4 linked regions of the Arabidopsis thaliana genome follow. The protein of the gene in region 1 interacts with the protein of each later gene in a pairwise test. Each region holds a gene or a part of one and is shown in the gene's direction. Other genes may lie near its edges.

Region 1 (8,322 bases):
TCATTAGTATTTATATCCTACTATATTATTTGGGAAGTACATTTTAAATCTAACCTTAATTTTTGTAATTAATTACATGACAATGCCATTAAAAAAAATTAATCAAAAGAAAATTTTTTAATAACGTCATTAAGGTTACCAAAATCATTTAACGACAATATTTATCTCTTAATTATAGGGCTTATTGGATCTAAAGACGGGTCATTAAAGATTTTCTAAACTGAAGCAAAATATACCGAATATTCAAATATCTATCTGTTACCAAATTATAAACAAATAAGTTCATATTTAATTTTTTATATACGAAATCAATTAAATCTTAATCACATAAAAATTAACACAAAAAAAAGTATTCAACAATTAAAAAATTATCAAATCTCTGTGTTATAGAAGTTTTTATACTATATTCGAATAAAGTGTAATATACCTTTTCAATTTGTATTCTTTAACTAATTTAAGCTAACTAATATATTTGCTAATCTTATACCTATCAAAACCGACTATCTTTTCTTATCTTTATAGTATTTTTGCAAGACTTTTAGGTGGATTTGGGTTAAAGTGCATTCGGGTCATATGGTACATTCCTTATTAAATAAATATGGTGCACTCCTATGTTATTAGCTAAAATGTTTAGATTATAATTTAGAGTCATATCATAAATAAAATTAATATTAATAAAATAAATGGCTTTTTGGCAAGACGGATCTGGAGGGACGGGTTTTTGAATCAACATTAATAAAAAAGTAAAATATAATTAATCCACCGTTTCAATACGGGTTAAATCTTTAATCTTTTTTTTTTTAAGACCACTAATATTAAACATATCAAATCATCCTAATTTAGAAAAGAGTATATAAAACTAAAAATGTTATGTGGTATGTATAATGTTACTATATATAAAATTAAAGTATAAAATATAAATGTATTAGAGAATGATAAAATTTTCAAAACTTATATATATAATAAATAATTCTTAAATTTTAAAAATTACTACTTTAAAAAAAATCAAGGGACGGGTAAAGAAATTACAGAACGGGTTTTATTTTGGAATTGGGTTATATGGTAGATGTATTTTAATCAATATTTAGAATATTTATAAAATTTTATTAATATGTTGTTTTGATAAGAGTTAAAAACTTCAGTTTTTTAACAATTGTCTAATGTATTCGTGGTATAGTGTTACTTAATAACAATTATAAACTGTAAAATATAAATATTTTATAAAAATAAAATTAGCAAGTTTTAATATATATTACCTTTAAAAAATAAATCGTCCCGCGTTATATCGCGGGTTAAAATCTAGTCGATTTATATTTACAAGATCTTAGGTTGAAAATAACATACAAACTACCTTCGTCTATAAATTAAATATAAATTGGCATAATATCTGGAAAATTTCTTACAATCAAGTCATGACGATTGACGAATATTGAAAGCTCAAACACTAATGTTGTACGTTGATGAACTAATTAAAAATTCAATAAATGCTCTAAACATATAAACAGTGTAACGTAAGGTGTAAATAGCGAATAACATATGACAGACTGAATATAAGGCTCGGATCGTAGAGGGGACCATGTTCCAAACCCAATTTTCCCCCATTAATTTCCGGGAAACCAAAATAATAAAAGCTAATTATAAACGTTTTCATGAAATTAGGGCAAAAGTACAAACTGAAACTAATGATGCCCTAAATGAAAATGAAATCTCTGCAATAAAGAAGAGTGGCTTTAGGGGCCACGTAGACATTAGTTACAAAAGCTCTGCGTCTTTTAGCCCTCTGCCTCTTCAACAGTACTTTACGACAATGAAAAAGATCGTGATGCGTAAATTAAGATCCCCTGTTTCTCACTGCATGCTCGTTACCGTACGTACTCATAGGAGTTTATAAATCAAAGGGCCTATAGAGAGTATTCTAAGTAGCAACCACTACGTAAAGTTTTACCAAAAAAAAAAACCAGTATGTAAATGTGACCATATGTTCATGTAGTTGCTTGTGTACATCTTTTTTTTTTTTTTTAACTTCAAACTTTATGCTTTATTATAGTGAAGAAGTATAATCCTCATGGAGTGTACATCTATATATACACTGCATACGCATGTAGAGTAACAAGACATTCTTTGTTTCTTGTCAAAAGACATTCACAATCCAACTAGAGATATGATTTTATCATTTGTTAGTTAGTTTATAGTTTGGTGACTTGGTGTAATCTCCTAGTTGGATAAAAATATTGGACCGTTGATTCGATAGAAATGCCAAACGACATTACAAATCGGATATATCGATTGGATGGAATCCAAAAGTTTATCCAATATAATCGACTAAAGTTAAAAAATGAGTAATCCACCAGTCTAACTAAATACTTTCTTTACCAACAAAAATTTGGGATACAACTGAGTTTATTTAGGTGATAAAAGATTATAAGACTTAACCTTTTAACAAAAAAAATTTTTTAAGACTTCAATCCTTAGATTGTTTTCCAAATATTAATAGTTACAATAGTTAGTTTGTAAAACCTATTTTTAATTTTCCGATACTCTTTGCACGTTGTGTTGAATCCGAGAAATCATGGGGGCTATATAAACAAAACTATACTATGAAATAGCCAAGCAACTTCAGTGATCGGATCTTTGGTTTTTTATTTTAAAAAAAATAAATATTTTATCAGCCGTATCTTCAGGGCCATTCCCCATAAAAACTATAATAGCTTCTATGAAATTTGTAGATTCCTAAAAAAATCTTTATATATCTTTTATATACAATATGTGGCTGTTACGTAGAACAATAAGACTATACAAAAGTTGGGTATTGTTCCTTTTCAATTACAAAAGTCATATTCACTAAAACAAAGCCCTTCAAACTTTTTAAAAAAAATGAATAAATCACGCATTTATACAAAAAGATCCATCCATGCTCCTATAAATTCGAGCATATAATTAACTAAAGAATACTCAACATGTTCATAAGTACACCTGTCTTCACACTCGTTTCACACATTGTAATTGACATAAATTTTAATATCTTTTAAAGCAAAGCATAAGTAAAATTATATAGAGTATTTCTTCAACACATTTCCGGACGATATCACCACGAAAAATATCCTATATCACCTATGTGTCATGACTCATGACCATAAGGAAGGAAAAATGTATTTTTATGATCAAACGGTTTTCACTTTTTTTATTATTCATTCTAGAAAAAAATTATAATCGTTTTCTTTCATTCCTACGATACAATAATTCATAACGATCTTTTAGAATTTTTGTTTTGTTTTCTGTGTGTATGGGTAAATATCTTTCATACGTAGACAGATACATAACAATTAAAGCTGGTGAAGTAATAATTGTGAAGAGACAGAGAAATTGAAAAAAGAGAGTTTGTTTTTCGTCTAAGTAAATACCGATGATGCCCTCACCTTTCTAATTCCCTCCTTTGTCCCTTTCCATTTTCATGTTTATTTCTAACTTCTCTGTCCCTTTCAATCCTTCTCCACCAGATATCCTCTGATTCGATCCCCCACAAATTTTTTCATAAAAATTATTATTATTCTCACTAAAACTCTCAAGAGTAGTTTCGATTTTTCCTCTGAATAAAAAAAAATCAAATAATATATTTGACAAGAGAATTTCCTTCCTAAACATAACATTTTATTTGAATGTTAATTCAATTGATTATTTTTCTTTCTTATATCCTTTTCTTTGGCAAAATTTATTTCTTATATCCAAGCACATTTTTCAATAGGGTTTTGTATGTATGAAATCATATCTACATGCATAAAAGAATAATATAGTGAATAACTGATTTTCTAGAATATTGTAAAACCTTCTTTTTGGGTCCCCATTTATATATATAACTCAATACCTTACTATCTCTCTATATATATATAATCTTCTCTCTCACACAAAACCTAAAATCTCTTTACTACCAGCAAGTTGTTTTCTTGCTAACTTCAAACTTCTCTTTCTCTTGTTCCTCTCTAAGTCTTGATCTTATTTACCGTTAACTTTGTGAACAAAAGTCGAATCAAACACACATGGAGCCGCCACAGCATCAGCATCATCATCATCAAGCCGACCAAGAAAGCGGCAACAACAACAACAACAAGTCCGGCTCTGGTGGTTACACGTGTCGCCAGACCAGCACGAGGTGGACACCGACGACGGAGCAAATCAAAATCCTCAAAGAACTTTACTACAACAATGCAATCCGGTCACCAACAGCCGATCAGATCCAGAAGATCACTGCAAGGCTGAGACAGTTCGGAAAGATTGAGGGCAAGAACGTCTTTTACTGGTTCCAGAACCATAAGGCTCGTGAGCGTCAGAAGAAGAGATTCAACGGAACAAACATGACCACACCATCTTCATCACCCAACTCGGTTATGATGGCGGCTAACGATCATTATCATCCTCTACTTCACCATCATCACGGTGTTCCCATGCAGAGACCTGCTAATTCCGTCAACGTTAAACTTAACCAAGACCATCATCTCTATCATCATAACAAGCCATATCCCAGCTTCAATAACGGTGACTAATCTCTCTTATACATGCTTTTTTATGAATTTATTCAGGTGGTTTTTTATAATTACTAAGAGAACCATTTACACCACTAGCTATTACATGAATTAGCACACACAAAAAAAAAAAAACTAACAAGATCTACATATATGACTTTGATAGATATATGTATATGTTAATTGTTAAAAAGATTTTAAAAAATGCTGTTGATTTATGAATTTATTCAGATGGTTTTGATTTAAAAATCTAAAATATATATTATAGGAACATGTTACACACCATCTATTATTACATGAATTAGTAAAAATAATTAAACCCAAGAAGATGTTATGTACATGTAATGACGTATATTTGAAGTTATGGATCTTGATTGGGGCAAACCAAATTTGCATCTAAAGAACGGTTTCTTTGTTGTGTAATGGAAACTAGACTCACGTGCATTTTATTTTCATTTGTGACTTGTAACACAATTAGGGATTTGGGTTAGTAGAAAAAAAATCACTAATTTTATGTCTCTTTCTTCATTCTTTTCCCCTGTATATAGTATGGTCTGGATTCTGGAATCACAACATATATGATCACTGATGATACGTATATTAATATGTTTGAAGGGAATTTAAATCATGCAAGCTCAGGTACTGAATGTGGTGTTGTTAATGCTTCTAATGGCTACATGAGTAGCCATGTCTATGGATCTATGGTACGTACCAAACTATAATTCATTAATTCAAATAATATTTATACTACATATATGAATAGAAATTTAATGAAACTGAAATTTTTGGGTGAAGGAACAAGACTGTTCTATGAATTACAACAACGTAGGTGGAGGATGGGCAAACATGGATCATCATTACTCATCTGCACCTTACAACTTCTTCGATAGAGCAAAGCCTCTGTTTGGTCTAGAAGGTCATCAAGAAGAAGAAGAATGTGGTGGCGATGCTTATCTGGAACATCGACGTACGCTTCCTCTCTTCCCTATGCACGGTGAAGATCACATCAACGGTGGTAGTGGTGCCATCTGGAAGTATGGCCAATCGGAAGTTCGCCCTTGCGCTTCTCTTGAGCTACGTCTGAACTAGCTCTTACGCCGGTGTCGCTCGGGATTAAAGCTCTTTCCTCTCTCTCTCTCTTTCGTACTCGTATGTTCACAACTATGCTTCGCTAGTGATTAATGATGCAGTTGTTATATTAGTAGTTAACTAGTTATCTCTCGTTATGTGTAATTTGTAATTACTAGCTAAGTATCGTCTAGGTTTTAATTGTAATTGACAACCGTTTTATCTCTATGATGAATAAGTTAAAATTTTAATTACTACTATGAAGAAATGACTATTTCAGTAAATTTTTAAAAAGGAATTCCTCACAGATCCGGAGGCATGAAAGAAATGCTAGAGATGTACTATATTTGATTACAATGTTATGATCTTAATTATCGATTACAACGTGATCTTGAACCGAAATCAACAATAGTTGTTTTACAACAGAACTTGTGAACAGTTGAATGTTTTTTGGTAGTTCAAAACTAAAACAAGCAAGTTGCTTTTCAGTGGAAGTTTTCTTCTTCTTCATGTTATGCAATCAGCTTGATCTATCGATAATCATGGAATTTTGATTACATCAATACGAACGGTCAAAATCAATCTCAATTATTTCTATGCGGTTTTTTCCTACCTAAATTTTGATTACATGCATTTATCAATCCGAACTCACACAATTTTCAAATAATAAATCTGAGTTATGTAACCGTTAGCCAATTTCAACATATATTCATTATAAATTAATATTAATCGTTAGCCAATTAAATAAAAGGAATGATTTAGATACAAAATAAGTGATAATTTTAACTTAACAATTCAAATCGACATTAACATGTATATGTTACACAGTTCAGTTTGTTATTTAAAAATTATGTAAGTCTAGGTTGATAAATACAGATGACCAAAATTTGAATTAAAAAAAGACCGCATCAAAATAGTTGGGGTTGATTTTGGTCGTTATCCCCAAAAAATGCAACCTCGAACCCTTTATTGATAAGATTAAACTATATGGGAGGGTAATAAGTTTATAGGGGTTTCTTCTAAGTTCATATTTCTATTTAAAACCTACAGCAAAGTAGGCCAAAATGGTACAATAGCAAACCATTACAATTCAAATCAAATTTTGTTATTGATAAGTTAGAATTTGTTGTTGTTTAAATACTTCATAAATACTTTTCGAAATAATACAATTTTAAATTGTTAAGAAAAAAGAAATAACATTTATCAATAAAATTAAGATTATAGTGAAAAACCTTGAACCCTAGTCATTCAACGATCTCGTTTACCCTTATTTTTTCCAAAATGTTTGTTATGTATACTAGGGATGAGTTAGGGAATGAATATCCTCGATTTTGGTGGTATTTGTGATATGCTCTTAGTTATCTGATATGTATTCGTTCCGTAACTCATCATATATCCGTTAAAATCAGAAGTATTTGCTTAATATATAACTAAAAATAACTATAAAAAATGAAAAACATATAAAAAAAACTCAAAAAATAAATTCAAAATAGCAAAATTTTATTAAAAATATTTCGTTAACTTTTAAAACTAGTAGTTAAATAAATAATTAATTTGATGAACAAAATTTATAAAAGTTAAATATATAAAGTAAATTATAATGGAATTAGCTATATACATATGTATATATATACGAGAGCAAAACGGAAATCAATTTTTTACTAGATGGGTTATATGATATTAATTTTTAATATTCAATTTGTTTCATAAAACTACAGATGTCAAAAGTTTTTGAATCGAATCTAAACGAATAACAGATCTAAATGGAACTAACAAAATATTTTGCCGAGTTGGTATGTTTAATTATATCTGAACTATTTAATGATGGTCATCGATATGACGATATGAAATGTTTTTATTTTCTCCATCTCGTTCAAAACGACAAAGTTAATGATGACCATCAATGGCTGATTGATCACTACAATTTTTTTATTTTTTATTTTTAACACTTATATCTAAAATTAGTTTGTAGTAACACTAATGTCCCTTTGTAATCTTTGGATACAATTAAGTACATATATGATTAGTTATAAGTTCTTCTTTAGTGCTATGAATTACGTCAAGGTGGCTCACGCGTTGTGAGAGTGCGTGTCATTCAGTATTTCCTTAAACAGAGAGATCTTTTACAAAGAGCTATCCTCGAGCCACGTGAACTAAAATGACACAAGGAAGAAAAATGTTTTTTTTGTTAGTTGATCTATGTCACATAGATCTTGTTCAATGACCGTAGCTTTTGATAGAATTTTTTTAAAAATATGTTACATACTCATAAATAAATTATATGGGTTATATTTGCTTATAAATCTTGTACATTATACTATACAATCTGTTTTATTGTGAATTGTGTATTAAGAATCATTTTAACAAAAAAAAATTAAAAAATAATATAATACTGTATGTTAAAAAAACATGAATGTGGCAGTTAGGGACATTTGTGCATCCATGTTTTAAAGAGTACATTTTTTGTAGTTTGAACCCTTTCTTCCTCGTAAACTACGCTCATAATTGTTACATTGAAAACTTTAATCATGGAGTATTAACTAGATATGTTTTTCTTTGGATTGCCTCGTTATATGTTGTTCCTTCTCTTGTTATCCAAGTTTCTCTATTATCCAAGTTTTGTCCAAACACGAATACCAACAAACTACATGTCTATATTTATATTTTGAAAAAATGAAAATTTAAGTGGTTTAGCAGATAAAACGAACTGATGTGTTTTCGGCCAAATCCATTTATA
Region 2 (8,775 bases), on another chromosome or scaffold:
CACAATCACCTATTACAAAAGAGAGACATTAATATAACCATCTTATTCTGAAACTATGCATTGAACTCTCAACAAGAACCACATCTATCTATCAAAAAGTGTTATTTTTGCAAGATTTCAATCAATCAGGCCTCACAAGAGCTTCTCAAATAGGGTATATTCCTATGTGAGCAATATCAGGAAAACTAGGAAACAGAACAAAATCGATGGCAGTGACATAAGAAGAGAGTAAGAATACCGGGACTCTGTCAGAATACTTCTCTCTGATCCTTAAAGCCTCAGCTTTCCTCTTCTCTGCAATATAAATCAATCATCAACCAATCATACTAACTTAAATTACTGGAAAAAAGAAGAAGAAGATTTATATACCGAAATCATGATCCTGCCTGAAGCTGACGTTACTCATCTTCTTTTGATTCCTGAATATATATAACAAATTTCCAGAATCACCAACCCAAATAAGAAGAAAAGAAAAACGATAATTTACCAAATCCCAACACAAAACCCTAATTTTTCTACTACCCAAGTCGTAATACACTTATCTCTGTATATTCTTGTAGAAATCAAACATAAATTATATGCATAAACGAAATCAAATCGGAGAAAACTTACCTCTCTGGATTATGCGACTTGGTTAAGATCAAAAACTTTGGATTCGACTTTGTGTGATTCAATTAATCTTCGACTGCGATCGTCACAGTTATATGTGTATATATACAATTCGTGTAACCTTTTCCTTTTTTGTTTACCGAAAGATTATCGAATTAGTGAATGACACGTCAGCTGATAATTTAATTTAATCAATGCAAACCAAAAATCGAGGTAAATTAGCATGATTTAAGGAAATGTTTAAGTGATGTTGTTACCAAATACAATTGTAGTGGTTATTTATGCACTAAGGCCCATAACTAGTTAATAATAACTCATTACTCTATGAAGCCCATTATAAGTCTTCCGTATATTTGTTTTCATAGAAGATAAGAAACCCAGCCCAACGTTTTTTTTTTTTTTGGTGGTTCAGCTGAGATCAAACCAGCAGGACATATCTAAACCAGAAGTTTTTTCTGTATTAAAAGGTCAATAACTAAAGTTTAAGGACAAAAAATCTACATTGTTGAATGTTGATCATTCAAATTTGTAAGATCGTATACTTAAAATATAGTTTTAAGAGATTGTATATCATAATCCTTGACTTCAAATCAACGATGGATCAAAACTAGCTTTTTTTTATTGAACTTTTAATAGTCAACAGAATTGAAAACTGATTTATGATAGTCATTAAGATTCTAGCACAATATCCACACTAGTTCCAGGCTCGTAGCTTACGTAACGTAACCTATATGGTTATCATATACTTTTGAGGAACTCTCCCAGTAATTAAGTCATTGAAAACCAGTAGTGCCATGCGGCGGTAGGACTTTTTCGTCTAATTGTTTTTTGTAGGTTAACAATGGTTCAAACACTAATAATTTATATAGTTTCACCAAACAATTAAAGATAATACTACATGGTTGTGTTGGTTGTTGTATTGACAAATTATAAGTTCATACAATCTATCACTATCTTTACTTTTTCTTTTGTTTCCGCCGTCACTGTATCTATCCGCTAAGCGAGACAAATTTTTATCGTTTGTGTTGTAATGTGTCTCCTAAATATATAGTTGATCTAATTAATAATATATAAACCAACCAAAATGTGACATGCTTTGTTATGAATAAGAAAAAGTTACATTGTCCTTGTTTAGTGTTTGTGATTTGATTAAGATATTATGATATGACATGATTCACATAAGTTAACCCCACTAGCATTCCTGAACATAAAAATTGAAAACTTTAAATAAAGAGAAAACAGAAAGCTTTGCCCGTGAGTCGAGGTTAGCAAAGGAGACTATATACCGTCTATTTTGAGGACTTTAAGTTTATTTTGGGAAATTAGCAAATCTAAAAACATAGTGGAAGTGAATTGCAAATATGACATTTGACATAAACTGAGATAATTTGGTTACAGGGTTAATATATTTCTACATCGAAGTTAATTTTTTTACTTGTTTTATATCACTGTAACCAAATTACATGAATTTCCGTGAAACCGAATCACGAGTATGTATGCAAGGTAACACACGGTCGATGTGTCCCTCCACTAGCCAGTCATCAACCTATAGAATGTATAGAATGAGTTGATTAAATTACGCAAATTGGTCATTTTTTAATCCTAAAATATAACAACAAAGCAGAAAGAAATACTAGTTTAATAGAATACATGTTGTTAGACATATTACAAGGTGGTGGAAATTCACATGGAGGTTTCTTGTTTGTCTTGGAGGAAAAAAAACATGTCTCCCATTATTACAATGTCCAATTACAAAGATTTTTGTTTTTATATTATTTTGGCTTAAAAAATAGAAATATGTTTAGGGCAATCACATAAGCCATGTCTCCCTTCCATTCACACACAAACTACCAAAAGTTCCAACTTGTCTTCGCAATCCAGCTCCACCTCTTTTCTTTTTAATCTCCTTTTGGTATCCTCTATTCTATTACCGCCACCAATAAACGGCCACTTAAGTATTTCAAGTTTGTCAAAGAAGTGAAAAAAAGAAGAAGAAATGATATAGATGATTTTAGAAAAGAATGGTGGAATAAAACGATTTGATTATCGCAAACACGTGTAAACATCAACTAACATAGGCTAAAGATTTGTCATAATTTTAGTTTTGACCGTGTCTACTTGTCGTTCAAAATTAAACTTGATTAGCAAATGCAAGATTTTATAGTCAATATGTCATTTATTAGTTAGTTTATAAAAAATCTAGACTAGAGCCATGAGATCTTCTCCAGAGTTCATGCAATTTCAACCGTTAGATAAAAAAAAAAAACAGAGTGTGTTAATAGAAAGCAAGGGTAATTATGGAAAACAATGATTAACAATAAAGCCATCTGTATCAAATTCGCTTTTTGCTCTGAAACCTCGGTATATGTTTTTGATTTTTTTAATAGTACTGTCTTTCAGATTGATCGTTATCTAACGCGCCTCAACAGTTCTGGACTATTGAATTACTTACTGTAAGACAATCAACTAATAACTGACTCTTTTAGGTTTTTGGGTTTCGACAATTCAATTTATTTTCTTTCTTTTCTTCATACTCCTATTACTTATTTAGTTTGATCTAATGAATTATACACTATATGATCCCATATTCTTAATAAATAAGTAAATAATTTTGACTATTTTAAGTATTTTTACGATTTCGCTCTCAAAATGTTTTTTACCTGTAATTTCAAAAATAAATTTGACACATCCTTTTTTTTTTGTCAAACATTTGACACATCCTTTAAGTAAACAAATCTATTGGTTTGAAGAAAAAAGAACAAAAATCTTTTGGTTCATTTTCATTTGACCCTTGACTTAGTTTTTATACATATATAATGAAGTATATTTTTACTATCATACTATTTAATATAAAACATGTTACTGCACATATATATTAAATCACCCAATTGCTATTTCACTAAATAACAAATTATTTTACAAGATGCAAGTTTATTTTATAAATCGAACAAAATTTACGAAAAATGTAGAATAGTAATTTTGTCGATATGCATAAAATTTATTGGTTTCCTTGTTTTTTTTTTCCTCAATCCAGTGTTTTCCTTATTTATTATGTTGTCATCATAGTAATTTAGTCAATTTATGATTAAGGCTAAATTTATTCGATTAATGACACTTTGATTTCGATTTTCATGGCTTAAACTTATATAATCAATGATCTCTTGGAGAGTAAGAGTGACGCGCCGTAAGTGCGAGTAGGGTTAGAAACGAGGGGATATAAAATGAGTACAGATGTAGATAAGTAAATCTACAGACACAAGGCACCACACACACAGCAAAAACCAAATCCTTTACTTAAAAAAAAAAAAAAGAGAGCATTTTTTATGAAGATCATCACTTTGGAATGTTGTTGGAATCATCCAGAGTCAATATACATAAGCAACGAGAAGAAAGATTGTTATTAATACCGAGTGTGAGATAATGTGGGCGCCAATTTCAGTTTCAAGCTTTCATCTTCGTCTTCCTCTTTAAGTTCTGAGATCTAGGGTTTTTCTGGGTTTCTTTGTTCTCACTCTTAAATTCTCTTTCTGACTCTGTAAGATTGGTCATGCCCCTGCCCTTTGAGCAATTTCAAGGGAAGGGGGTTCTGGGTTTCTTAGATTCTTCTTCTTCTCCGGGATACAAAATCTGGGCTAATCCAGAGAAGCTCCATGGACGAGTAGAAGAAGATCTCTGCTTTGTTGTCAACAATGGTGGTTTCTCGGAGCCGACGTCTGTTTTAGACTCTGTTAGAAGTCCAAGCCCTTTCGTCTCTTCTTCAACCACCACGCTGTCTTCTTCTCACGGTGGTCCCAGCGGCGGCGGCGCTGCTGCTGCTACTTTTTCCGGCGCCGATGGGAAATGCGACCAAATGGGTTTCGAGGATCTCGATGGTGTTCTCTCCGGTGGCTCGCCGGGACAAGAACAGAGTATTTTTAGATTAATCATGGCTGGCGATGTAGTGGATCCGGGTTCGGAGTTTGTGGGTTTCGACATCGGTTCTGGATCCGACCCGGTTATTGATAATCCTAATCCACTCTTTGGATATGGCTTCCCTTTTCAAAACGCACCGGAAGAAGAAAAGTTTCAGATTTCAATAAACCCAAATCCGGGTTTCTTCTCGGATCCTCCGTCGTCTCCTCCTGCGAAACGGCTCAATTCGGGTCAACCCGGATCTCAACACCTCCAGTGGGTTTTCCCGTTCTCGGATCCGGGTCACGAATCTCACGACCCGTTTCTCACACCGCCAAAGATAGCCGGAGAAGACCAAAACGACCAAGACCAGTCAGCGGTAATCATCGACCAGCTATTCTCTGCGGCGGCGGAGCTCACCACAAACGGCGGAGATAACAATCCCGTTCTCGCGCAAGGGATATTGGCGCGGCTCAATCACAACCTTAACAACAACAACGACGACACTAACAACAATCCTAAACCTCCGTTCCACAGAGCAGCTTCGTATATAACAGAAGCTCTTCACTCTCTCCTTCAAGACTCATCATTATCACCACCGTCTCTCTCACCTCCTCAAAACCTAATCTTTCGGATCGCAGCTTACAGAGCTTTCTCAGAAACGTCACCGTTTCTTCAATTCGTCAACTTCACAGCAAACCAAACGATTCTCGAGTCATTCGAAGGGTTTGATCGGATCCACATTGTCGATTTCGATATCGGTTATGGAGGTCAATGGGCGTCTCTGATTCAAGAGCTCGCCGGAAAAAGAAACAGATCTTCATCAGCTCCGTCGCTAAAGATTACAGCTTTCGCTTCTCCTTCAACTGTCTCCGACGAATTCGAGCTCCGATTCACTGAAGAAAATCTCAGAAGCTTCGCCGGCGAAACAGGTGTCTCCTTCGAAATCGAGCTCTTAAACATGGAGATTCTCTTGAATCCAACTTATTGGCCACTGTCTTTATTCCGATCATCGGAGAAAGAAGCAATCGCTGTGAATCTCCCAATCAGCTCCATGGTCTCCGGTTACCTCCCATTGATACTTCGTTTCCTCAAGCAAATCTCACCAAACGTCGTCGTTTGCTCAGACAGAAGCTGCGACCGTAACAACGACGCGCCGTTCCCTAACGGTGTGATTAACGCGCTTCAGTACTACACATCTCTGCTCGAGTCTCTCGACTCTGGGAATCTGAATAATGCGGAAGCTGCTACGAGTATTGAGAGGTTTTGTGTGCAACCGTCGATACAGAAACTGTTGACGAATCGTTACCGTTGGATGGAGAGATCACCGCCGTGGAGAAGCTTATTTGGGCAATGTGGGTTTACTCCTGTGACGCTGAGTCAGACGGCGGAGACACAAGCGGAGTATTTGTTGCAGAGGAATCCAATGAGAGGGTTTCACTTGGAGAAGAGACAGTCTTCGTCGCCTTCACTTGTCTTGTGTTGGCAGAGGAAAGAACTTGTTACTGTCTCAGCTTGGAAATGTTAAGACGAAAAAGGAGGATATTTTCACGGTTTAATTTTCTTTTTGTAGCTTTTCAATTTGGGTTAGATCACGTTTTAATATGTTTGATTGTGATGTTAACCAATCAAATGATATATATATAATCTCCTTATGTTAGTCTTTCTTTTTTTTCCTTTTTATATTTCTGCATACTGAGATATGGATCCTTTAATACTTCATTTTTTAAGAGACAGAAGATTTGACATGTAATATGTTATAGGTACTAAAGATTAAGAGGTTTCTCAAAAAAAAAAAAAAAAAACTAAAACTTAAGCTGCCTTACACAAATTTCATTTTTCTCTTGGAAGGTCGACTATACTAAATTCGTAGTTCTTTATTCAAATACTAAGCATAGTAGTAATCCTTAACCTTAATCTAACAAACGAACACTGATAAATAAGAGATTTGTGGAGAAAGCTCTAAACCAATGCAAAAAAACTCAATCAGATCCTCAAAATGTCTTGGAATTCGAACGTGTAACCAAGAGGGTAACCAGGAGGGTCTTTGGCAGTAGCAGCGTTTATAAGTTTAGTCTTGCATTTTGGAAGTTTTTCCATGAAGATAGTAATTCCACAAGCTCTTAATAACCGGATCGGTCTTTTGAAATCGATGTCCCCCGTGATGACCATGATGTTGCAAGGAGTTTGGAAATTGGATGTGATGATATTGGCTTGTGCTGGCAAATCATCCGGCGATGTCGTGTTTACTCTCATACCTAACTTTAAAAACAAAACAAAAAGATGTAAATGATTATTGTATGCGTTTGTGAAAGTGAATCAACATAATCTTAAACAGTGGAGAAAGCTCATCAAAATAGAGTTCAAAACCACAACAGTAAATAAACATCATTTATAAATCATATTTGTACAACGATCCCGACTAACAATTTCATACACCTTAACACACAGAGCAGGCAAATAAAATATCAAACCTAAATTTCAATTACTTGTACGGGTCAAAACAGGTCACAAATACTAATTAGCAAGTATTTGCCTTGTAACGAGTCCTACACATATTTACGAAGCAAAAACTGTCATTTTTACTCACAGTGTCCCCATATAAAAATGTGGAGGTGAGTGTACCTCAAACAATTGTTTTGTGTTCTCTATATCCCACAGTACATGGAAACATAGTTTTCTAAAAATTATTATTAAAAAAATGATATTTCAGGGAATAATTTTCTTTTTAGCTTTTTAATTTAGATAATATCATGTTTTAATATGTTTGAGTGTAATGTTAACCAATCAGATAATATATATATAATTTCCTTATGTTATTCTTACTTTTTCCTTTTTTATTTTTCTGCATATTGAAATATGTTTCCTTTACCTTTATTATGGAGTATATTTTATCATTTTCCTTGAAATGTTTGTTAGAGACATACAATTTACCATGTGTTAATTAGGTCTACTAAAAATTTAAGCTAATGGTAAACAAACTTCATATTACTAAACTATGTATTAACTTGTGTTTTGGGGTTAATGTTGTAAACGATGAGATAACTTGTGTTTAAAGACTTTTTACCTTTTTAGTATAGTAAAGAGATTGCGTAATACGAGTTTTGTCCGTGTAATCAATCACATGGTCCTCGCAGAATTGCTGCTTAGATTTGATATTATCATAATACGACCACTTTATTACTTATTAATCAACCACTTTAGTAAGATTCTGCAGTGAAATTGTGAAAGTATAACATTTGTTTATTGTATTGGATAACAAAATCCACCCATGTCTTTCCTCTTCCCAATCATTTCTTAATTTTCGCCTCTTTATTAGTATCATTGATATTTGATTATTCATTTACATAGTTTCCTTTTTTCATTTCAGATTTTTTTTATAATTGCACTCTAAAAAGTCTGCTTGGGAACAACGCTTTCATTAACATCCCCACATGATTTTAGGCCTTTTTCCTTTAATCCATTATCTGGAAAACAGGAGGAAATTATTTTGGAAAGTAAATCAAGAATGAATCTCTAAATCAATTACCAAACGCCGCCGTTCCATTACCGGTCAGGCAAGACAGACCAACGGTCCGAGAATTCGCCTAACGAACCAGTTTACTCGCATTTAACCAAAAATTGCATACCGGTTCAATCAAACAACAGAACAGACCAATCTCAGAAAATCTGCAGCCATTTCACCATCATTGCTATATGTTGCTTTGAACTTCACTCTTGCGAGGGGAAAACTTTGTCAGTTTCTTCTTGAAGCTATATGTTTTCTTGGGATACAGCAATACAATCAAACTCCATGAAGTCTTACGAACGAGTAGGCTAATGCACCAGTGAAAATGTAACTATCAACTCTGTCCAATATGCCACCTGCAATTACAGAGGACTCGGTTAGAGAGGCAATGATAGACAAATTCCGGTCTGGTTTGACGTGTCATTACCGTGTCCAGGGATGAGTGAGCCGGAGTCTTTGACACCCGCATCACGTTTGATCATTGACTCAGTTAAGTCACCAAAGACCGATCCGAAGAAGTTAAGAACTCCAAAAGCTATGGTGCTGTTTAAATCGAACCAGTCAGAATAAAGACATAATAGACTCCAGGAATTCTATAGGATTTGAGTACCTGACAAGAGATTGAGGCCAGGACAACGATTTGGAGAGTAAAATGGTAATGGAAATACAACCAACAAGTCCTGCAAAAGCTCCTTCCCATGTCTTCTTTGGACTAATGCTAATAAGAGGAGTTCTACCAAATGCCTGCAACATTAGTTGATTAACTT
Region 3 (8,270 bases), on another chromosome or scaffold:
CAAAAAAAAAAAAAAAAAAAAAACAAATCTACACCAAATAGAATAATGTTTACTAAATCATTACGAGACTTACCAATCGATCGACTTAGTATAACACACATATATACTTATATATTTTTATATCAACGGTCTAATTTAATACTTACTCAATAATTTATAGCTACAATCAGTCGATCCAAAATTTAGATTAAATTCTTGTAGTATGCATACGGATAGTTATAGAAAAAAAAATAAACAATGAAAAGTTAAAACAATTTCTCCGTTACTACTTTTCATTCTTGTGGGAATGATATTTTAATGGAGAACGATCTTTTATTTTTACTATTTAAGTATTTTATTTATTGTGAATGACATAAAATAGGAATCTACTAAAAAAAATTGCTTTTGTGAGGATGAAGCTTCTCTCTTTTGATTAGAAGGAAGAAGCGTCTGTGTGTAGTCTATCATCGGCCTCTCCTTCCTTTCCTTACTTCCTAAGTATTATGACCTTTTTGTGTAGTGGGGTTTGAGAAATTATCTCCCAAGAAAATACACAACTGTCTCTTTTTCTATTATAAAATTTAGATTTTATTACAATTATTATATCAAGAAAAAATATTACTACCAGATAGTTGTACAAAACACTATATCACCATTTTACGTTGAATTTTGACATGTTAACTAAAAGATTGGATAATCAAATCATGTCTTTAATTTTGGTTTATTTTAATCACAGGATACTAAACACACAAAGTTTACAAATTCATAACCTTCAAATTAAAAACAACTTATGAGAATTGAATAATATGTTTTGGCGATATTATATTATTACACAGGTTCTCAGCAGTCAGCACAACAACTTAAAATTTTCTTTATCAAAAACAGTTTATGAGACATTATACTTAGTATAAATCACGGTATACATATTATAAAACTACCAACACAGAAACGAATAATAAGAAAGAAACCTTTGGCAGTGGGACAATTTTGGTAACGAGAGGATCCATTGGTCGATCAGTAAAAGAATATTGTCAGAGTGGGAATATAAGATATGATCGTCATTCATTTGTTTTTAATATACAATCACGTGTGTTAATAAATAGAACTTGTATTAATTACCAACATTATTTATGAAATATTCTTTTCTTTTTCGACAAACTCCAATCATGTGTAGGGAAGATATTGCCATATTTGGAGACGTTAGTGTATATGCAGAATAATTATCATTCATAAATTGTATTGCATATAATTAAAACGTTCGTTACCCAATATCAGATGGATTTAAATAAAATAGTTGTACACATAGGGCCATCATTTTTTCAGGGAATTAGCTGTATGAACGAGAATCAAAAGTGATAGTGTAATGATTTTCAAGCTAACAAGACGTAACATTTTGGTGGTCTGTGGACGAAATAATTTCTGAGCATAATGAAAACATTGGTCTAATACTGGCATTTTATTATTATTATTATTATTTTATTATTTGTTTAAAATACTGGCAATTCAATCTAACAAAAAAAAGGCAACTAATTTGGCGAGTGATTTCAGTTCGATAAATCATTGATTATTTTTCTTGCATGTTCCACATATATAAACTATAATATTATGGTATTTTATGTATGATCCTCGAAAATAAACTAACTAGTTGTTAAGCATGAGATTAGGATACAAGTGGATCCCATTGCATGTAGGCGTTCATACGGTGGAATATTAAACTTGATTATTTCTCTTAAATTTTTAAAACATAACAGAAATGTGGGCTTAATCATTAATTTAATGAGAAACAACTAAAAAAAGTTGCCACAAAAAGAACTTTTAGTATTTTAGTGTGTTAATTGAGCCGCTATACCGCATAAAATCTAAATTATATAACACAGATGAAGACTTATGTAAGAAAAAAAGTTGAATTATGTTAGGAAAAAGGTGTATTAATGAGAGGAACCTTTTCTCCACGATATTAAAGGTTGAATAATGTCTCAATGAGAAGAAGCTTTTCTTCACGAGAACTATATGATGTTTAAATTTCGCAAACTAGGCCATATTTTGCGAAAATGGTGAGTTATTAACCTAATATGATCAAACATTCCTAATTACACAAGGAAAAAAAAAAGAGAGTATATTCAAAAGATTGAGGAAATGGTTTTGCATTCTGGTACACCAAACCAAATAGAAAAGAAAGAAAACAAAAAAGGAAGGTAAATTTCCATGAAAATGAAAGCAATAAGTGAAGGAGAGAACATATTCTTTCTTTTTCCTTTGCGAGTTAGAGAGAAGAGTGGGGGGCTAAGCAAAAGAAAGAAGTGGGCGTGATTCTTACGCGCTGACTTAATGATCAGTCAATCTCTGGCCCATGGGCTTCTCGGTCATTTTCTCCGACATTATTACCTCAAAAGTTAGCCCATTGTGGACCCGCTTACTTTCCCCCTGCTTTTTACCGTGTTATGTGGGCTCCACATAAAGCCCAGTGGTCACTCCCTTTTTCCTTTCCTTTGTTTTTTGTCGCAAGCAGCGGGGATTAGTGTCCGTTAAACATCATCGACTCAAATTGTTTCATGCAATTTTCCCCTTTTTTATTGGTTATCAATCGAATAAACCTCTCTAGCTTTTGTAACTAGTTTGAGATTATTATGTGATATATGCACGGTACTAAATAAATACATAATATTGTATTTTGTGTGGTACTAACAACTAGGTTTAGTGAGAATAAAAACGACGTTGTAGAGTTTGTTTAGTAAGAATATTTTTGTCCAACACAAACTACTTTTAAAAAAAAATTCCAAACGTTGATATACCTATTGCCTATTGGAATAATCAACGCAGATTCATAGTTTTTTATTTATCTCCATACTTGGGTCAAAAACGTATGAGATTTAATGATCGAAAACAATATCCACAAATATGAAATATTTTAACGCTGATCTCAAACTCAGGTACAACATAGTTACATATAGCCGTGCTGCTATGTTTGAGAAAGATTATTTTTGATCACTTAAATTGTCATATGTAATAAAAAAAAACTTTCAGTTAAATGTTTTTGTAAAATACTGTTTAAAATTTTAGGATGAAAAAGACTGAAAAAAAACCACTCAGACAAAAAAAAGAGAGAAATCATTAACCTTTTTAAAACATCCTTTTTCTCTTTTATTTTCAACTTTCACATTCTTGATGATCAACATAGTGGAGCTTGGATCTCTTTTCAATCAAATGATTTATTTTTATTTTTAAAGCAGAGGAACTTTATTTGTATTTTATCCCTTTAAAGAGCTGTAGAAGTTTCCTTTTCATTAGCTACAGAAGTTGCTAGTTGTGCATAGTATATAGTTTTGGAGATATATTATGAGAAATTAATACAAAATAAAAACTGATTTAAAATCTTTCAGTTGAATTTCATGTGAAATAGTATGTTATTAATAAAAAACGGAATCATATACAAATCATTGTCAATCAGATTGTTTCGTGTATAAATATTATTCTGTAAAACCAAACAAACCCGGATCAGACACGGTTACCAAAGTTGAAATCTCTTTATTTGCACGCACTCACTCAAAGATAAAAAGCTTACCACTCTCACCTTTCAAAAGCCCCGCCACCTTCTTCTTCTCCCACACACAAAGAAAAAAGACAGAAAGAAAAAAACTTTTTTTCTTTTCGTTAAAGGCTCCACCTTTCTTTCTTCTTAACACACAACACATGAAAATCCCTGCATCATCTCCTCAAGACACGACCAACAACAACAACAACACTAATAGTACTGATAGTAATCACTTATCAATGGACGAACATGTCATGCGTTCAATGGATTGGGATTCCATCATGAAAGAATTGGAGCTTGATGACGATTCTGCTCCTAACTCACTTAAAACCGGTTTCACCACAACCACAACAGATTCTACTATTTTGCCTCTTTACGCCGTCGATTCAAATCTCCCTGGCTTTCCCGATCAGATTCAACCGTCGGATTTCGAATCGTCTTCCGATGTTTATCCTGGTCAGAACCAAACAACTGGGTACGGTTTTAATTCTCTTGATAGTGTCGACAATGGAGGATTTGATTTCATTGAAGATCTCATCCGAGTCGTGGATTGTGTTGAATCGGACGAGTTACAACTCGCTCAGGTGGTTTTATCACGGCTTAATCAACGCTTGAGATCTCCGGCGGGTAGACCGTTACAGAGAGCTGCGTTTTACTTTAAGGAAGCTCTCGGTTCGTTTTTAACCGGATCAAACCGGAATCCAATCCGGTTATCTTCTTGGTCCGAGATTGTTCAGAGGATCCGAGCGATTAAGGAATATTCCGGGATTTCTCCGATCCCTCTCTTCTCTCATTTCACGGCGAATCAAGCGATACTCGATTCGTTGAGCTCGCAGTCGTCTTCTCCGTTTGTTCACGTGGTGGATTTTGAGATTGGATTCGGTGGCCAATACGCATCGCTTATGAGAGAAATCACTGAGAAATCTGTAAGCGGTGGATTTTTAAGAGTTACGGCAGTGGTGGCGGAGGAGTGCGCCGTAGAGACGCGACTAGTGAAAGAAAACCTAACTCAATTCGCGGCGGAGATGAAAATTCGTTTCCAGATTGAGTTTGTGCTGATGAAGACTTTTGAGATGTTATCTTTCAAAGCGATTAGGTTTGTTGAGGGGGAGAGGACCGTCGTTTTGATTTCCCCGGCGATATTTCGTCGTCTAAGTGGAATCACTGATTTTGTTAACAATTTACGGAGAGTATCACCTAAGGTCGTTGTATTCGTGGATAGTGAAGGATGGACGGAGATCGCCGGATCTGGATCATTCCGGCGAGAGTTTGTTAGCGCTCTTGAGTTCTACACGATGGTGCTGGAGTCGCTCGACGCTGCAGCTCCTCCCGGAGATTTGGTGAAGAAGATAGTGGAAGCGTTCGTTCTACGACCGAAGATCTCCGCTGCGGTAGAAACGGCGGCTGACAGGAGACACACCGGCGAAATGACTTGGCGGGAAGCGTTTTGCGCCGCCGGGATGAGGCCGATACAGCTAAGCCAGTTCGCCGACTTTCAAGCTGAGTGTTTATTGGAGAAAGCGCAAGTTAGAGGATTCCACGTGGCGAAACGACAAGGAGAATTGGTGCTGTGCTGGCATGGAAGAGCACTTGTTGCCACATCAGCTTGGCGGTTTTAGATAAACCGGGTTTGGTTTAACAATATGATATAGAATAGAATAATTGTATTTACCGCCTTTAATATCTCTTTTCTTTTTGCTGTTTATCTTTCAAATAAAGAAATAAAAATATTTCTTACGAAGAGTCTCTGTATGAGCTAGAGTCTTTTAATGATTCATAATCTCCTCTATTCAAAACACAAGTGACCTTTTTTTTGCGAGTGTGCGAGTTCGTCGTCAATTTGGTAAAACCGTCGTACGAATCGCCGATGAGCGGGTTTGCTTCACAGATTCCATCCATGGCGCTTCTTGGATCTGGACTCACCGGCGAGGTAATCTTCCTTTAGTTTGATTGATGTTTCCGATTGTACGGCTTTTGTTCCGATCCGTGATTTGGGGATTCGTGATAAAGTTTATGATTAAATATGTATATTTAGGATTCCTTCATCTTCTGCCTTGTTGGAATTCAGATTTCTTCTGTACTGGATTGTTTTTTTGTTTGGATTACTCTTTGACAAAAGCCGATTAGAGAAAGAGGTGTTTCAATTCCTGATCATGTGGATATTCTCAACTTTTGGATTGAGAGAAACAATTGTTTTTCTCAATGGAATTTTCAGGTTGGGTTGCGTGTATTGTTCTCTCCACTTAGTTCCAATATCGTACTTCGTACAGCATGGTGAGTTTTTTTTATTGTAAGGTGAAGAAAGCCATATAGTTGCTAGAATCAATGGTACAGGTAGACGAATGAATTGGAGGAATGATTTGATTGGTGAGATTGTGATCTGATTGAGTGATTCTCATTACATGTGAAGCAATGGGGTAGGGAGGGAGTTTTTTTTTTTTTTTTTTTTTTTGTTGACATAGTTATTAACTTAGCCGAGTGGACAAGGGTTCTATTCTACTTGTTGTGATACTTTAGGGTATCTTTTGGACAAGGGTCAATCTATTGTTGGGGAATCTGGATTCTTTTTGTTTTATCCGAGTTTTTGGTTATTTTCTCTATTAGAAGGTGTTATAGCTGTAGTTGACTAAAGGATTCGGTTATAAAGGACACGTTTGTGTGGTATGTCTGAAACTTGTTTCCTGCAGCTGCTCCATTGGCATCGGTTTGCCTGTGTACTCTACCTTCAAGGCAATTGAGAGTGGAGATGAGAATGAACAACAAAAGATGCTTATTTACTGGGCAGGTGGGATATTGTTACTGCAATTGTTATGACCTTTCTAATTGCTTTCCTTATTCTTTGACTGTTTATCTTCAATAGTTTTTTTTCAATCTCCCTTGGCCTTCTTTCACATGGAATTTGATGGGGTTTTTTCTCTATCTTCACCTTCTTTGCAGCTTATGGTTCTTTCAGCCTTGTTGAAGTGTTCACGGACAAGATCATTTCCTGGTATGATTGACATCTTGAAACTATATACAATATCTTGATGGTTTTGCTGTTATGTTAGACAAATAAGATATTTCTTCTAATGGACTTTATCGAGAGAAATGGCTTGATTATCTCGATAAACTCGCAAAGTATTGATACTCAATAACCTCGATTATTTGCAGGTTCCCGCTGTACTATCATGTGAAGTTTGCGTTCCTCGTCTGGCTTCAACTCCCAACTGTTGAGGTACCTATCGGAATCTCTTTAAACCATCATCTAACGAGTAGGCAGCTTTAACCCGTGGTACTCATCAGTTCTGATATTCTCTATATTCTTATTTGCCGACAACAGGGATCAAAACAGATATACAACAACCAGATCCGTCCTTTCCTCTTACGACACCAAGCTAGAGTGGACCAACTTGTGGATGGTGTATATGGGGAAATGGTACACGATTGCTTTCTTTTGAACTCCCTTATTCTTCAGTCACTTTTAACTAACGCTTTAAAACAAAACAAAAAACTGCAGGTGAAGGTCGTTAGGTCACACCAAGGAGAAATACGGTTTGTCCGAGCAATGATTGCCAAAATCTTGGGATCAGGTTTGTTTCGGAACTCTAATTTTCTATCTTTAGTGTAATACTTTGCTATCAGGGTATTGAACTGACTATTTTATTTGTACTTGCTGTGTTGTTCCAACAGTCAACGAGGATGCACCACGACTAGGAGAAATAGCAAATGGTAGCCCCGTTTCAGAAACAAACTCGGATTCAGAATCCGATTCCAATCACGAAGACTAATAAAACAAAGTGTAATCGTAGCTTTTGCAGCTTCTACAGTCTTGTAGGTCAAATCTCTATTACACAAAAATGTCAAACGATTGTATAGTTACGTAATCTCAAATGACTTTGGACTCAGTTTTTTTTATCCGGTGTTGAAAAATCCCAATAATCCGTTGTAAAGTTCCAATTTTCCTAAGTGTTAATTTGTTCCTTCACCATCTTTCGACCCAGCAGCATTCTGTTCTAGATTAGCTACAGCCTCTGCTCCAAGTACTCTCTGCAACTCATCCTGCATTATTCCATGACTCTAGTGTAAATGCAAGCCGATAGAAATAAGATAAAAGTTGGAAAGAGTATGATTTTCGCAGAAATTTTTCCGGATAAAGAGTTTGTCACCTGGATTGAGTTGTTCTCAGACTTGAGCTTATCACATTCGCTTGAGAGTCTCTGTAGCTCATCTCTCAGGCTTTGATTCTCGTTCGACAAACTCTCTACTCTTTGTTGAAGTTGTTCGCATTCGGCCTATTCGAAATGGTTTATTATGGAATGAGTAAATTACAAGAAGCAGACAGAGTAAAATGATACTAACACACAAATGCATATTACCTGCTTCCGCAATCTAGACCGCCTAGCGGATTCACGGTTAGATTGTTTCCTCTTCTGCCGCTTGAGCTCTCGTTCATCCTGTTGAGTAATCAGAGGATTTTGTAAGGAAGAATGTAACGAATTCGGAAAAGCAACCTTGCAGGGTGAAATGAGGAGTTGGTCACACCTTCACTGGTACACCAGCTTGGGAAGACCATAAGTCCATCCCGATATTCAGATTAGTCCCCGGGGCTACCGGCTTCATGGGCACCGAACCTTGGATTTCACCAGTCGTACTTTGAGAACTTGCTGTTCAAGGAAACTTTACCAAGTCAAGAAACATGGAAAATACATGCAAAGAAAAACCATGAAAACTGCAGCGGTCAAAAGCATACCGTCAGCAAGCATCTGTCCAAAGCTTGGCT
Region 4 (8,282 bases), on another chromosome or scaffold:
TAGAGAATCCGTCGGTCTTGTTTATTATTTGCTAAGTTTATTCTCTGCTTTATGAAATTATTTTCTCATTCTTTTCTTTACTCCAATGAACCATTGTACTTTTCAGCTTTCTTGACTTTTTTTTTTTTTTTTTTGGCTATTGATGGTTCAGTGGATTAAAGAAAACAATTTTAAGTACAATGTTGCCAAGAAGAATCAAAGAGAAAACACTTGGTTTAAGTAAGAGTATAACAATAACAGACAATTAAAGAAGAATCATATGCATATAGGAGACAAATCATTATTCTCATCATCGTAGATAACATGGACAGGTTTATCGACAAAGTCGTTGTCTTGAACGTAACAATCTCGATCATAAGTAGGCTTCTCCACGAAATTGTTGACATGAACGTGACAATTCCTCGTGAAATCATCCCCAAATCCGGCTCTTTGTTTCACATTCTTCAAACGATTAGACACCGAACTCGTGTAATGAGGAGGTAAAAAAGTTTTGCATAGCTTCTCCTTAAGTTTATCCCATGATTTAATAGGATTCTTGCCAGCTCGCTTGCGTGTTTTCTGCTTTTGTTGCCACCATGATGCGGCTTGCCCTCAAAATTTCTTAATCACAAGCGAAACAAATAGATCATCCGAAACGTTTTGAAACTCCAAAATTTCTTCAATCTTCACAAGCCAATCTAGTAACGAATCACTAGAGATTCCACCATGGAGCTTGGGAATATCAAACTTAAAATTGGTCGCTCATCTCATGTCTTTCACAGACATCGCTGCAAGGGAATCAAACCACTAGGAACGACGTGGCTCTGATACCAACTGATAGAAAGCGGAAGCTAAATAACAGACAAAAACGCAAGATTTTCAGGAAAATTCAGATTCACGAACGGATCTTTTTTAGAACGTCAAAACTTGACAAAGAGGCAATAGGATAGGGTCGAGATCGGTAGCGATATCGACGAGGTTTAAAAAGTCATCCTTGCAAGGTTTGAACACAAGCTTTTAAGGTTGAGAGTCCTCCTCTCTAGGCTTTATACAAAGCTCTCTTAAAACTCTTTATTCAATAATCAATAGCTAATTCATTCTACAACGTAAGGTAAGAATCATAAACAAAACCTTAATTCTTAAAAGAAGTTAAAAGCCCAATAGGTAAAGCCTATCTCTTTAATAAAATCCATAAACTACTAAATCATGAATGAGAAACAATAAAGAGGTTTGGTCACGACGAGGCCCATCGAAGGCGTGAACAAAGCAAAGATGCGTTGCATCACCCATGGAGGGACTTTCTCCGTTAGAAATGCTCTAAGAGACTTCTGTATTTTGGAGTGTCATTCGATCATAGTAATTTTTTTTTTTTTTTTTGTTGTTGTTGTCGAATCATAGTAATGTGTTGTCAATGATCAAATGAGAGTTAGATTATGTTTAAGGAAATGTATATGATTAAAGAAATAAGGAAATTCCTTTACCAACTTTATATTGTGGTAATTGTTAATTACTTCCCGCCGATCTTGGTTTTTTTTTTTTAATCATAATTATTATTACTTTGGCTCTAATGAGATGAAGAAATCTTCTCTATTTTTCTTTATCCTTATCAGTCCCATGTGATCTCCTAATAATAATTGATCAATTTTTGTCTAATCTAACTAATCATCATCCTAAAATCTAATACAAAATGAACGACGCAATCATTTATATATGGTTACATGCATACAAACTCTAACACGTTATCCTTCAATATAAATTATTGTTTGACAAGATTAATATATTTAGCTGACTTGTTTCTTCCTCTAATTATGGCAAAGCACGATTCTGTTCATCATACGAACTATCCGATTGAGTGGGGTTGGGTGTGTTGCTTGTGATGAAGGGTGCCTTGAGACGAGAGAAAAGAACATGTTTTCACCACGTAACTTACTTCACCCTCACGAAGTTAACACACACATATATTTAGTATTCCAATATACCAAATATTATATTAATATATCATGAAACTTGAAAATGTGTTGGTGTATTATGTATGTCAATAAGAAATAATATTAATACAGTTTCGCGATCATTTCAAGATTTATAATAATTTTGTATAAGAAAGAAAAGTGTGAGAAGTAGTTGTTAGCAAATCACATGGGAACATATAAACTAATTAAATCTTAAAAATGAACATTTTAACTTTTTGTTGTTATATAAAGTAAGTTAACTATCAATAATCATCAAATATTTATGGTACTTAACAAGTATTATAATATGGGACTAAAAATTACTATACAAGAAACTGAACTCTGTGTTTTTTTGTGCGGTCATAATTCGCATATAAAAGATAGATTCAGAATCTGATATTGTTTATACTTTTTTTTTTTTCTTTGATATTGTTTATACTAATGAATTGGTTTGCATAGAAAAGTAAATGCTTTTTCATTATCATGAATACATGATAATGAAACTGTCGCCATTCATTGCAAAATTGGTCCGATTTTAATCTGTCTTCATCAATTACCCACCTCTCTTTCTTGTTGTTTTTTCTGATTGCTTTATTCATTTATTTATTATAGGGTTTTCCATTGGTAGATATATTTATATATGTATATATATGGTGATTGGTGACTTCCATTGTCTGCTCAATAAAGGACTACCACTCGTTCTTTCTCAATCTCTCGTGCATTTAACTTGTCACAGAAGAAACATCATTCACAGATCTTCAATCACTTTTTTCCTTCAAACGAAAAGATGTACCAAAGAAAGTATGTTTTTATATACACGTAAATATATATATAACTCCTTCTTTGTTATAAGTAGTACATGAATGTTTCAGATAATGACGATCATTCGTATCTCGTTAAGTTAAAACAAGAAAAACAAAACAGATATTTTTGATGTAACTCCAATATATACATAGTTTTTGTTTCCACTTTGTTTAGATTTATAAATTTAGATTATGTCCGTAGCAAAAAAAAAAAAAAAAAGGAAACACAAATTAATATAAGCACTGCAATATGTGGTTTAGCTCGTACAATGGATTGGGTGATTTGAGTGGTTAATTTGATAAAGATGATCCAAAAGCTTGTCCAAACCCTAAAACAAACTATTGGGGACAAAGATCACACAAAAGGAAATAACGACAGCACCTTTGAGATAAAACAAAACAAAACAATATCCCAAATATAGTTTGCAAGCCACAAAGTTTTAATCATGAAAATAAATTATAAGAAAACAAAAACATTCCCAATATATTATGACATCCTTTTTTTTTTTTGGGCAAGTATTATGACATCTAAATATACAGTACAACATCAAAAATATGGGGAAAATGTTTTTTTTTTTTAATAGTTTCTAGTAATTCAAGAAGACAAATACAATATTTAAAAATATATCATAACATTTAGTATTTTTGTTTACCATCATGTTCATGTCACTGAAAGGAGTTTGCAAGCCACGCGCGTGATGTAAGAGTGGGGTTGTAATAGAAGACATAGTTAAGATTAGAAAGCAAAGATTAACAAAATGTTGTGTAAGAGAAGCTGATGAATTGTTTAATCAGCTAAGTTAATGACAAAGGCAAAATGATAGGAAACGGAAATAAGAGAGAAAAAGAAAGGAGGAAGCCCACTTTGCCACTTTAATATCTTGCACGCATCCAATATACCTCACCACACCACATCACAACAACGAAGAAGAAGAAGAAGAAGAAGAGCTTCAAGAAGACAAATACACTATTTTTTATCGTCTGCAATGCCCTTACCCTTTGAAGAGTTTCAAGGGAAGGGGATTTCTTGTTTCTCTTCTTTCTCGTCTTCCTTCCCCCAACCACCGTCGTCTCCGCTTTTGAGCCACCGCAAAGCAAGAGGCGGCGAAGAAGAAGAGGAAGAAGTTCCCGCGGCGGAGCCTACCTCTGTTCTGGACTCCCTCATAAGCCCAACCTCTTCCTCCACGGTGTCTTCCTCTCACGGCGGAAACAGCGCCGTCGGAGGCGGCGGCGACGCCACCACCGATGAGCAATGCGGAGCCATTGGGTTGGGTGATTGGGAGGAGCAAGTTCCTCATGACCACGAACAGAGCATTCTCGGACTCATCATGGGAGATTCCACAGATCCCTCTCTTGAACTCAACAGCATTCTCCAAACATCTCCCACCTTCCACGACTCTGACTACTCATCACCCGGTTTCGGAGTCGTCGACACCGGCTTCGGTTTAGACCACCACTCTGTTCCGCCGTCACATGTTTCCGGTCTTCTGATCAACCAAAGTCAAACCCACTACACACAGAATCCTGCGGCTATCTTCTACGGCCACCACCACCATACACCTCCGCCGGCAAAGCGGCTCAACCCTGGTCCCGTGGGGATAACAGAGCAGCTGGTTAAGGCAGCAGAGGTCATAGAGAGCGACACGTGTCTAGCTCAGGGGATATTGGCGCGGCTCAATCAACAGCTCTCTTCTCCCGTCGGGAAGCCATTAGAAAGAGCAGCTTTTTACTTCAAAGAAGCTCTCAATAATCTCCTTCACAACGTCTCCCAAACCCTAAACCCTTATTCCCTCATCTTCAAGATCGCTGCTTACAAATCCTTCTCAGAGATCTCTCCCGTTCTTCAGTTCGCCAACTTTACCTCCAACCAAGCCCTCTTAGAGTCCTTCCATGGCTTCCACCGTCTCCACATCATCGACTTCGATATCGGCTACGGTGGCCAATGGGCTTCCCTCATGCAAGAGCTTGTTCTCCGCGACAACGCCGCTCCTCTCTCCCTCAAGATCACCGTTTTCGCTTCTCCGGCGAACCACGACCAGCTCGAACTTGGCTTCACTCAAGACAACCTCAAGCACTTCGCCTCTGAGATCAACATCTCCCTTGACATCCAAGTTTTGAGCTTAGACCTCCTCGGCTCCATCTCGTGGCCTAACTCGTCGGAGAAAGAAGCTGTCGCCGTTAACATCTCCGCCGCGTCCTTCTCGCACCTCCCTTTGGTCCTCCGTTTCGTGAAGCATCTATCTCCGACGATCATCGTCTGCTCCGACAGAGGATGCGAGAGGACGGATCTGCCCTTCTCTCAACAGCTCGCCCACTCGCTGCACTCACACACCGCTCTCTTCGAATCCCTCGACGCCGTCAACGCCAACCTCGACGCAATGCAGAAGATCGAGAGGTTTCTTATACAGCCGGAGATAGAGAAGCTGGTGTTGGATCGTAGCCGTCCGATAGAAAGGCCGATGATGACGTGGCAAGCGATGTTTCTACAGATGGGTTTCTCACCGGTGACGCACAGTAACTTCACGGAGTCTCAAGCCGAGTGTTTAGTCCAACGGACGCCAGTGAGAGGCTTTCACGTCGAGAAGAAACATAACTCACTTCTCCTATGTTGGCAAAGGACAGAACTCGTCGGAGTTTCAGCATGGAGATGTCGCTCCTCCTGATTTCCACCGGAGTTTCAATTATTAAAAAAATATTTTCCTTAATTCAATTTATCTTAAATGACAAATTTTTAGTTTCTGATTTTATTTTGCTCAGTGCGATGGATTTTTAAATTTAAGTTTCACACAAATATATAAATTTTTGTGAGAAGTTAATTAATTGTCTGATTATCAAACACTTATTGTATAACACATTCAATATATATTAATTGTGGGGATTATTTTTGATCGACTAAATAACGTGATAGAATAATGCTTGGATTAGCTCAATACTATATTTTTCTAATTAAAAATGAATGGGGTGTTGATTTTGATGCGAGGCAGAAAGCTACTGCTCATTATTGTGATTATATGATTATATAATGGTTAGAGTTTGTTGTGGTTTGTGTCTTTGCGAGGGGTCTATTTTTAATTTATAAACATATGTCTCCATGATGTCACATGGGTCTTGTATTATTTTATTTATTTGGACCACAATACATTTTTGTGTGCGCCGTTTCTAACCTTTTTTTTTCTCCGACGAAACAAAGGTTTGCTTTTTCTCCTTTAAATGGTCCATACGCATTACATATATAATGCGCCCATTTGCTTTACGCATTAACTGCATTTCTCTATAGAAATATTTCAGAAACAAACCAAGTGTATACAATACATCAACATGTTTTTTTTGGGGTTTTAATGTGAAGATTTCATTTCAATAAAAAGATTACAAGCTAATCTAAGTAATACAAACCAACATATTTTGGTTTACTCTTTATATTAAAACATCATTTAGGATAATTATTTAAAATATATATTCAAACATCTAAGGTCCTAATTAAGCATTACAAAAGATTTCCGTTTTAGAAACATATCAAGAGTTGATTAAATGGAGAAAGACGACTAAAATTTGTGAGTGAAAAATGACAATATGCCGCAAGTTATTGTCTCTTGTGCAATAAACGTTGGTTGGATACAGACACATTTGATTGAATGTGAATAGTTTAGTTTTGACAGATCATAAGCCGTGTCCTCAAGCAGAAGACCGGTCGTGATCGGTCAATCTACACGTGTACGGCAGAAACACATGTGTCGTTTCCCTGTGAGAGATGATCAACCAAATCAACGGTCAGTTTTTGTCAACTAATGTGTGTATTGATTTGTAACATGCCTACGTGAACATAAGCTAGTCACGCAACAAGCAAGGCCTGGGTCACGCAGGCTCGGCTCCACTAAGACGCGCCGACGTAGTCACTCATCATATATCACATGTCTAGATTCAAATGGTAACCGTTTGATGAGCGCAGTAAGTAGAAACATTGACCGGTCCAGGCGAGGTCTAGCAAATACTATTAGAATTAAAATTGATGTAATCAATCACTGATAAATACTATTAGAACTACTCTACTTTACACTCACGTATTCCATCATTTAATATACATACGTGAGTGTAAAGTATTTCTTCACAATTTATTTTTGAAAATAGCTTTTAACCCATAGCAAATGCCTATGTTGCCATGGGGTAGACGGGACTGATCACACATCGAAGCATACTCTTGATAATATATGGACAGGGAAATACATATTAGAAAGCTATCAAACTTTCTCTTCCTTTTTTTTTTGTTTGCTGGGTTTCATCTTTCACTATATTGTATGTGTGACATGTCATTAAGAAATGAATAACAACAGGCTATTCATTGCTTTTTTCTATTCATTGCTTACAAAAAGTAAAATGATGATAAAATACGCAGCTTTTGGTGTTATTTGTCCTTCAACTAATTGAGTTATCATTTTTCTTTTACTCCTTTTAGACACCGCATATGTACTTTTGTCTCAAAGAAGACTCTCCTAGGAGTTAGGAAGATTTTGATTTTGTTATAATCAGACTTTAACTCACATCTGTCTTCCATCATCCCACTGTTTTTCAAGTATTTTATTATTAGTTGTTAAAAACTTCTACGTCCAAAATCTCAATCACTACGAGTATTGCAATGTTGATATTGTGCGTTAAATGTATATGTATATAATTCCAAATTTCCAACAATTGGTTTATAAACGATGGCACTAACATAACCTCATATATTGTGATACAACGAAAGGCACCGGATGGTGGAACGCATCACGCATCATGCATCCTCGATCCCTTTTCAAAGTGGTATGTAAGAGATCATTATTTCAACATAACATACATTTGCTATGATGACGCATTTTAGTCAAATTAGTTGTTTGTTCAATCATATTAATAAGGGTCAACAGATATTTATACGAACTGTAATTAAAATGATAAAATCCAAAGCGACAAGTTTGCTACTACCAAATGTGTGTTTAATATATATAATTTAGAAACATTGAATTTGAGAAAATGAGTATACGGTTGCACAAAAGAAGAAGAAGAAGAGGAGTATACCAACAAAAGGTTGTACGTAATATAATTCCGACCCCCTAAAAAGATATATAATAAGGTGGAGAGCGAGGGATCTGAAATTGATGGGTGTGTTTTTGTGTGCATAACAAAAGTTAAAAATGTATTTATATTATTTTTAATTTTAAAATTCTTTTCTTACTTGTGTTTATTTATTAGTTAAATAAATAATTTAATGAGAGAAGCTTTTGATACAATTTTTACTCTCTTTCAATCTCCATCTCAACTTTTGTAGATGCCAAGCTTGCCCACCATATCTGCTCCTCAACCTCTCACTTTACAAGTACTTCATTTATTTTCTTAGTTAGTCTATTTATTTCAATAAACAAACTCTACTCAAGTTCATCAAGATTCGTAACAGTGGAATCCTTTATTAATGTTAGATCATCAAACTCTACACATGTTTATTTCCATCTCTATGCATGCCTTTATATTGCTTAAGTTGTATACACGTACATATACACTTCACTACTCTTATTATCTAGTTCCA

The links.
Region 2: the proteins of WUS (region 1) and HAM2 interact in a two-hybrid assay, tested with the Arabidopsis thaliana proteins (one study listed by BioGRID).
Region 3: the proteins of WUS (region 1) and HAM4 interact in a two-hybrid assay, tested with the Arabidopsis thaliana proteins (one study listed by BioGRID).
Region 4: the proteins of WUS (region 1) and HAM3 interact in a two-hybrid assay, tested with the Arabidopsis thaliana proteins (one study listed by BioGRID).

Annotation. Positions count from the first base shown.
Region 1 is NC_003071.7:7,806,384-7,814,705, reverse strand, and holds WUS (Homeodomain-like superfamily protein), read left to right. Parts: upstream 1-3,894; 5' UTR 3,895-4,034; coding exon 4,035-4,530; intron 4,531-5,132; coding exon 5,133-5,221; intron 5,222-5,312; coding exon 5,313-5,606; 3' UTR 5,607-5,835; downstream 5,836-8,322. Other genes in the region: AT2G17960 (uncharacterized protein), read left to right, coding at 1,577-1,867, 2,252-2,326. UniProt on the Arabidopsis thaliana protein: Transcription factor that plays a central role during early embryogenesis, oogenesis and flowering, probably by regulating expression of specific genes. Required to specify stem cell identity in meristems, such as shoot apical meristem (SAM).
Region 2 is NC_003074.8:22,407,749-22,416,523, reverse strand, and holds HAM2 (GRAS family transcription factor), read left to right. Parts: upstream 1-3,860; 5' UTR 3,861-4,156; coding exon 4,157-6,028; 3' UTR 6,029-6,284; downstream 6,285-8,775. Other genes in the region: ATG8G (Ubiquitin-like superfamily protein), read right to left, coding at 1-9, 239-294, 370-406; CDS5 (cytidinediphosphate diacylglycerol synthase 5), read right to left, coding at 8,285-8,364, 8,436-8,551, 8,619-8,752.
Region 3 is NC_003075.7:17,302,391-17,310,660, forward strand, and holds HAM4 (GRAS family transcription factor), read left to right. Parts: upstream 1-3,367; 5' UTR 3,368-3,669; coding exon 3,670-5,130; 3' UTR 5,131-5,258; downstream 5,259-8,270. Other genes in the region: HVA22K (HVA22-like protein K), read left to right, coding at 5,379-5,441, 5,727-5,785, 6,199-6,296, 6,449-6,500, 6,662-6,725, 6,831-6,926, 7,008-7,080, 7,181-7,278; GBF1 (G-box binding factor 1), read right to left, coding at 7,460-7,549, 7,657-7,782, 7,867-7,944, 8,033-8,154, 8,241-8,270.
Region 4 is NC_003075.7:54,541-62,822, reverse strand, and holds HAM3 (GRAS family transcription factor), read left to right. Parts: upstream 1-3,327; 5' UTR 3,328-3,717; coding exon 3,718-5,394; 3' UTR 5,395-5,683; downstream 5,684-8,282. UniProt on the Arabidopsis thaliana protein: Probable transcription factor involved in plant development.